Linked DNA regions of Oryzias latipes. The protein of the gene in region 1 binds, or shares a complex with, the protein of each later gene. Links are inferred from orthologs where the notes say so. Each region holds a gene or a part of one and is shown in the gene's direction. Other genes may lie near its edges.

Region 1 (4,409 bases):
TTAAACAGCCGGAGACCCTCACAGCTGACGACTCCTTCTCCCACAATCAAAAGAAACCTGCCGTTCTCTCTCATCCTGCACGCTGCGTCAAACCCAACGTAATGACGCCATCAACGGAATGACGGCTACGGTGGCTGAGAAATGTCAACTTAGGGAAAAAACAAAAAGAAAAAATAAATAAATAAAAACTACACAAATATCCTATTTTAATACAACCAATTGTCTTGCCTGTGTTTTATCATAAAATAAGACTTTAATTAAGTACCAAGCTATAAATTAGTTGTTGCAAAAATTGCACCAGCAAAAATATGAACGTGTTGGTCAAATTATATAAGGATTCACGTAATTCAATTACATGAATCCATTTGGTAATGAAAAAAATTATTATTTTTTAAACCACTGTCACATTTATTTAGACTTTACCAAAACCAGACAGACCTTAATCATAAAATAGAATAGAACAGAATAGAATAGAATAGACTTATTTTATTGTCACTGTGTCACATGTACACGCAACAAAATTCCAGCTTTTCCTTTTTTATAATACAAGGAGTTGTGGCAGTGATCTATTCAATATTATTCTTCTCTTTCTTCTCTATTATCCTCATTTTATCATCATTATTTTTTTTAATTTTATTCTGTACTAATTTAAGGAATAAAAATGCATTTCACTGAAAATGAAGAAAAAATTACTGTATTATGTTTAGTCTAGACACTCATACCTAATGCGAACTAATCAGCAATGGTACAATCTGAAATTTGAGACACAGGATTTTGCTATAAGATATTATTAAGCGGTTTTATGCTTTGAAGGAAATGTTTGTGTATAGATAGATAGATAGATAGATAGATAGATAGATAGATAGATAGATAGATAGATAGATAGATAGATAGATAGATAGATAGATAGATAGATAGATAGATAGATAGATAGATAGATAGATAGATAGATAGATAGATAGATAGATAGATAGATGGATGGATGGATGGATGGATGGATGGATGGATGGATGGATGGATGGATGGATGGATGGATGGATGGATAGATAGATGGATGGATAGATAGATAGATAGATAGATAGATAGATAGATAGATAGATAGATAGATAGATAGATAGATAGATAGATAGATAGATAGATAGATAGATAGATAGATAGATAGATAGATAGATAGATAGATAGATAGATAGATAGATAGATAGATAGATAGATAGATAGATAGATAGATAGATAGATAGATAGATAGATAGATAGATAGATAGATAGATAGATAGATAGATAGATAGATAGATAGATGTTACACTTGGTCCTCTGTATTTATTTTTGAATTTCGTCACAGTAAAAGAACAAAAGAAAATGCTCCTGTGTTTGATAGATAGATGTTACACTTGGTCCTCTGTATTTATTTTTGAATTTCGTCACAGTAAAAGAACAAAAGAAAATGCTCCTGTGTTTGCGCATGTTTTGCGCTAGGGGGCAGTCATGTTTTAATAAGACGTGGCACCGAGTACGTAGAAAACGAAGAAGAGTCTGCGAGTAAAAATCGTGTTGCTAATCTAAGGCAGCACAAACATAACCTACCAGAATGGTAAGTTATTACTTACAAATGGACTATTTTGTAAAAATCACACACTATATAAAAATACTGACCTGTTCTTTGGCTTCAAAAATCCCATGTAACTGGTTTAAACATCGCAAATCAAGGCTAAGCTACGCTAGCAACCAATGCTAAATTGTTTTCTGCTTGTGGAACGCTGACTATACAAGTGGTTCTTTTTAAAATTATTTTCTATATAAATATATAAGGGGGGGGGGTCACCATTTCAGATACACGTTTAGTACTAAACTAAACACAAACGAATCATTATAGTTCGGAACAGAGCTTAAGTTTCTCCGCCGACACAGAAATACATTCAGACGTGTTCTTCATTTCTGAATCAATATTCCTTTTAGAATGCATTATTTTAATATATCATAGAGATCATAAATCGGACCCATTTCTACTATTTCGCAGCTTCCCTTGTCCCTTTTGAAGACGGCCCAGAACCATCCTATGGTAAGAAATAATTGCTTTTCTTTCCTCCTTCTATTCCTTATCTGGTGATTACTGGTTAAACCATTTTATTCAGTTACTTGTGGTTTTAAGATCAGGTTTTTTGTTTTGTTATTGAGATTGTTTGCATGTTTTTCTTTAAACAATAATTTTTGTGCATTTCTTTTTGAATAAAGAAAGAACCTTTTAGAAAACCATAATCACCAGCTGACCTTTTTTTCAATGAACTTTGATTTTTTTCAGCTGGTTGAACTGAAGAATGGAGAAACCTACAACGGTCATCTGGTTAGCTGTGACAACTGGATGAACATCAACTTGAGAGAAGTCATCTGCACATCCAGGGTAACAGATTTGCTCTCATGTTCTCAGTGGAGAACGATCCATAAACTGCACACCTTAAATAAAAAAAATTAGCTTAAATTTAACAGTCGCTTACCTGTTTCCTTCAGTTTTCATTCTGACTACCTTAGCCGTTTAAAGACCCACCCCAATTAAAATAGTGTATTTGTTTGGTTTGGTTTTTAACATGTTTTGTGGCATTTTTCTCATAATGACGGACATATATAAAGAAAGTTTGTAGGCAATTAGATCCATTTACGTCTTGGTTTTCCTCGTCTGAGCTGGCATCTGGCTTTAAACTGTACGTCTGTATAGCTTCAACATTCCCCACCAATTTTCTTGCACTTGGTGTTAGATTGGGGGTATGAGGGTGTGTAAGCTAGCAGGAGAGTGGAAACAAAGGGACCTTGGAAAATGCGGCAGGCTTTTTTAGGTATATTTCTAATGAACTTCTGTCACTCTGCAGAAACTGTCCTAGAAAACAAGACAAGTTTTTCATTTTGGCTTAAAGCTGCATAATGAAAAAAAACAAAATCAAAATACTGGGAATAGATCAAAAGATAATTGAAGTGAGCCTTTAAAATATAAAGACTAATGTATAATGAAGCAATGGTTTTAGTAAAACATCCTTTGATACATGTTGGAACAAAAACCTCAACGCTAATTTTTTTTGTTAGAAGAAAAAGGACTGATTATTGTTAAAGGCCCTGTACCATGCTATTCCTAAACCATTCATGGTAAAGAATATCCATATATATATTACCTTTGGCCCACAAAAGAAAGATTTTTTAAATTAAATATTAGTTACGTGGCGCAGTGGTTAGCGCAAGATCCCCCAGCCAAGTTTTGGGGACTTGGTTGCTGTTGGTCCCCCAGCCAACTGCAAGCCCAGCCAGGTCCAAGACTTGGCTGGGGGACCTGAAAAAGAACCTGTCTGTGTGGAGTTTGCATGTTCTCCCCGTGCATACGTGGGTTTTCTCCGGGGACTCCCACCTTCGTAGGTTAATTGGTTACCTTAAATTGTCCATAAGTGTGAATGCAAGTGTGCATGGGTGAGTGATTTGTGGACCTGTGACAGACTGGTGTCCTGTCCAGGAAGCCCCCTGCCTTCACCCATGAGTAGCTGGGATAGGCCCCGGCAGCCCAGTGACCCCAAAAGGGACAAAGCGGGTTTAGAAGATGAATTAAAAAATGATGAATGAATATTAGTTATTTTCCTGAGTTATTTTCCAACCTGGAAGCAAGACGACTGGATCTGAGGCACCGGCACTTCCATGATGTCAACCTATAGCCAGCATCAACAACATGTCTGTGTCTCGCCCACGAAACAAACAACATTCAAACTTTCGTAAAGATGAATGTGCATATTGAGCATGTAAAGAGAGTTTTGCCAAACACCACTAGCTTCATGGAGTGTGTGTTTTAGCCTGGGGGCGGGGCTGGCAGCGCAGACTCTTCCTGGAAGGGGCTGTTCTCACTTATCTACATCAGCTCGTGAGAACCCGCTTGTTTTTGTGGGTTAGGTGTGGCTGGTTCCTGGAGCACAGGTTTTTAGAGGAATTCTCAGAAATGCGTGAATGGGTCAATACTGGTTTGAGGTTTCTTTATAATACACCGGGAAGTTCAAAAAAGGGATTTAGCATAGACCCTTTGAAGTATACTGGTTACACTCATCGTTTGGTCTTTTTCCCACAGGATGGTGATAAGTTTTGGAGGATGCCAGAGTGCTACATCAGGGGAAGTACCATCAAGTATCTGCGAATTCCAGATGAGATTATTGACATGGTGAAGGATGAGGTGGTTTCTAAGGGTCGTGGACGTGGAGGTGCCCAGCAGAATAAGCAGCAGGGTAAAGGAAGAGGCGGAGCCGGCCGAGGTGAGAGGAAGCAACTTCTGCATTTGTTCTGTCATGATTTGCCTTAATGAGACTTAGATCAGCTTAAAATAAGTAAAAAATCCCTCTGTTAAAGCTTTTAAACACATCTGGTGAAACATCATCTTTATTTGTTTAGGAATT
Region 2 (3,656 bases), on another chromosome or scaffold:
AAAGGTGGACCTTTTCATATTCAGTGCAAAAACAATATTTGGCAGGAGGGAAAAAAGGCAGTGAACTAAGCATGCTTTCAGATGTGTAAATAATAATTGTTTATTTCCATAAATTTAAAAAATGTTAAATCAGTGAGCAATAGAAAAGTCCAAATCAAATTGGTGTTGGTACTTTTTCCCTCCAAATCAGCATCAAATCTTCAAGGTGCGCTTAACACAGAGTCGGGGATTTTGTAGGATTGTAGAAAACAGCTGTGTAGTAGAAGGCTTAAAACTGTGGGAAGAACAACCAAATTCTGATTCAAGTTTAAAGTAATAACATTTCTTGTCAGGTTTATCTAACCAAATTCTATCTAAATCACCAAGTCTAAACCAAAAAAGGAGGATTGTTTTAAGTCACCCAGACGGCCCGTGTTTGACTTGATCGTAAAAGAAAATGGGGACCAGTTTAGTGTCTGAGATCAGTCCAGGAGATAGAAACCTGCCAGCACTGGAGGCTCTCTTTTAGTTGGGACTCAGCAGTTAAAATGGATAAGAGAGGATAAGATGGGATGCACTTCAAGAATCACAAAGAAAAGCTTAGTTTCTTTCCACTGCCGACATCAAGGCAACTGTGATGAGACAAAAAAAATAGAAAAATACCACAACTAATTAGAAAGACTTGCACCGTACACAGAAACAAAGTGCTTTGTCTTTATAGCTTTGAAAGCTAACTTTTGTGACTCAAAGGCTAAGACGGATCAACAGTTGTGTGCGTAGATCTTCAGTGTACGTTTCTGTCTAATGTCGTGCCTATAATTTTACAATTTATTTCTCAAATAGAATTTTTCTTGACTGGATTGTAACAAAAAATGTTTCAAATATCAGGTCTGACTATCTTTAGTTTTAAGTAAGTTTGCAGGTCACAGCGAATGTTTTTATATTTCTATTGACCCCCCCCCCCCCCCCCCCCTCAACCTTTGTCCCATGGCAGAGTCATCAAGGACTTCATGATACAAGGAGGAGACTTTGTCAATGTAAGTACGCTAACGTCTCGACATCTCTCTTAGGCTGGACAAAAGTAAAAGTTAGATCATGTTAATCATTTGTGTGTTTGCTGGCGTTTGTGTGTTTGCTGGCGTTCGAGTGTTTAATCTCTTTGAGGTTTGGACGTCATTCAACTGTTGAAGCTTTTTCTTCTGTCATTAGCCTGTTTTTTAATAGATCTTGATTTTTCAATGCAGACACACCCTGTCTAACTCTTGCAGGTATACAACACTTCTGAAATAAACCCAATTTAAAATACTCATAAAACTTACAGATGACTTTTACAGGTGAACTAGTACCATTAAATACAGGCTGATGTTGTAGTTTATAAATGCAAAATAAAAGACAGGTTTTTTTATGTCTTGTATTACAATAAATCATAAACTCATGCAGGAGAATGAAAACACAACACAAAGGTTAAGCATCATATGTGCAAGAAATAGAAATTCAAAACCAGATCTAGATGCAGAACTAACCAAAAATGTGAACTGAAACATCTCAGTTTGAGTAGCTTCTCTTTTCCTCATCATTAAGCTATGTTCAGGACATAACCAATTAAATGTTGCTCTGAAATCTAATGATGGCAGGAAAGGAAAGCTTTCTCCCTCTTGTGGTTGAAAGCTGAATTACATCTCAAGAGCTCTGCTGAGAATAGTTGTTCTGCAGGGGGATGGAACCGGCGTCTGCAGTATCTACAGAGGACCTTTTGCAGATGAAAACTTCAAGCACAAGCACTCTGCTCCTGGTCTTCTTTCTATGGTAGGTTTGCAAAGGAATTCACATTTACAGAGTGAGACATCTTCATCAGGCAAAGAGGTTGCCCTGTGAATATTTTGGATGTCTTGTTATTATACATGACATCAGATTCGACTGGATTGAAACATTTTTTGTTTTGTTTTTATTTTTACTATTCACTTCTCTCACAGGCTAACAGTGGTCCTGGGACAAATGGTTGCCAGTTCTTCCTAACCTGCACGAAATGTGACTGGTTAGATGGGAAACATGTTGTTTTTGGTAAATAAGTCGTTATTAAGATAAGAGCGCTTTTTGTTTTCTTCTTCTGTGTGTGATTAAAATTCTTAAATTTGTTTCTGTTTCAGGAAAAGTGGTGGATGGTTTGCTGATCATGAGAAAAATTGAGGTAAAGATGAACCTTTATTGACTATGTTTAAAATGTTTAACAACCAAAAGGGAACAAAGTTGGGCAGCTGGGCTTTGTTTCCAGCAAAGTGTATAGAAAAAAAATTGAAGGGTTCCTGCTAAAAGATCTTTGGTTACCCCGTAAGGAGGTGGTGGGATACTGTTGTTGGGTAGAATTTCCAGCTAATAACCCTTAACATCTTAAAACCGTTGTGATGGTCATAAACTAAAACTTAATTAAAAGTGGGGGCCAAGTAAAGCAAGAAATTTATGTCAATATAGCCCAAAAACCCCAGAACATAATTATTAGGGGGGGGGGAATCAGATTTAAAAGTTTGTACAGGTCTAATCTGAATTTAAATCCAATTGAAATGATATGGTTAATCCTTAAGAGAGCTGTATGTTTGCAAATCTCCTCATAAACATAAAAGATGTGATAATGTGTTATAATAATGTACACGTAAGGGAAAAAAGCTGTTGTTTTGAAGTTATATTTATCTTATACTAAAACCTAATGTATGTTTTTTTTTTTAAATCAAGCATTTTAAAACAGAGAAAGCAGGAAATTTTCCTGGAGTCAGAAATAAGTAACAGTTAATAATTCTTTAAAACCTTAAGACAAATAAAAGAAATTAGAAATTTGGACTTTAATTTCGTAACTACTGTTTGATCCTTTTAGAACTTATTTCTTAAATAGAATTTTTCTTGACTTGATTGTAACAAAAAATGGTTAAAATCTCAGAGGCAGGTCTGACTATCTTTATTTTAAAGTAAGTTTGCAGGTCACAGGGGATGTTTTAGTATTTCTATTGATTTTTTTTCCCCCCTGGTACCAAAACTTATGATCTTTAACCGTGTTTTGAGTATAAAACCTGAAAGGTTTGGGAAAATGGGCTGCAAATTCAATCTGTTATTAATCTGGTTATTCTGAAATGTTCTTCTTTCTTCAAACAGAATGTTCCCACAGGACCCAACAACAAGCCAAAACTCCCAATCCTCATCGCTCAATGTGGAGAAATGTAATTTGTTTGAAGAAGTTCTGGTAAACGTCATCTTAAACTCCATGATTTAGTTCTTGTAGCATCCAAAGTGTAAACATTTTCTAAATTTTCTTCTCGGTCCTTAGACAATAATTGTTGGCTCCCACACTGTTATCATGAGGAACAAATAAAATTGTTTTTTTTACTAAAAATGTTGCATTTTCCCCTCCATATTTTTACATGTTGTTGGTCATTCCACAAAAGTTAGATTACATTGCTTTAAGTGTGCATTTAAAATATGTAAATTTATGCAAAAGAAACATTTTTTAGTATTTTTTAACAAGCCATATTTTCTAATAGTTTTGATTCCAATTTTTTTATTGGAAAAAAATTTGCTTTTGTGTTTTCCATGTTTCTTGTTCCTAAACTCAAATAACAATCAAATCAAAAAACGTCTATTGTTTCTAGAACATAGTTACTGCAGAGGAGCAGTAGTTAAAAAATTGCATC

Evidence for each region. The genes of interacting proteins can lie anywhere in the genome.
Region 2: lsm4 (region 1) and ppih share a complex: the UniProt entries of both Homo sapiens proteins name them as parts of the U4/U6-U5 tri-snRNP complex. The link is inferred for Oryzias latipes from reciprocal best matches to the Homo sapiens genes LSM4 and PPIH.

Annotation. Positions count from the first base shown.
Region 1 is NC_019862.2:13,834,357-13,838,765, reverse strand, and holds the start of lsm4 (U6 snRNA-associated Sm-like protein LSm4), read left to right. Parts: upstream 1-1,465; 5' UTR 1,466-1,585; coding exon 1,586-1,588; intron 1,589-2,014; coding exon 2,015-2,056; intron 2,057-2,296; coding exon 2,297-2,395; intron 2,396-4,087; coding exon 4,088-4,268; intron 4,269-4,409. UniProt on the Homo sapiens protein: Plays a role in pre-mRNA splicing as component of the U4/U6-U5 tri-snRNP complex that is involved in spliceosome assembly, and as component of the precatalytic spliceosome (spliceosome B complex).
Region 2 is NC_019865.2:7,790,981-7,794,636, forward strand, and holds the end of ppih (peptidyl-prolyl cis-trans isomerase H), read left to right. Parts: intron 1-973; coding exon 974-1,016; intron 1,017-1,692; coding exon 1,693-1,785; intron 1,786-1,952; coding exon 1,953-2,040; intron 2,041-2,126; coding exon 2,127-2,167; intron 2,168-3,120; coding exon 3,121-3,189; 3' UTR 3,190-3,358; downstream 3,359-3,656. UniProt on the Homo sapiens protein: PPIase that catalyzes the cis-trans isomerization of proline imidic peptide bonds in oligopeptides and may therefore assist protein folding. Participates in pre-mRNA splicing.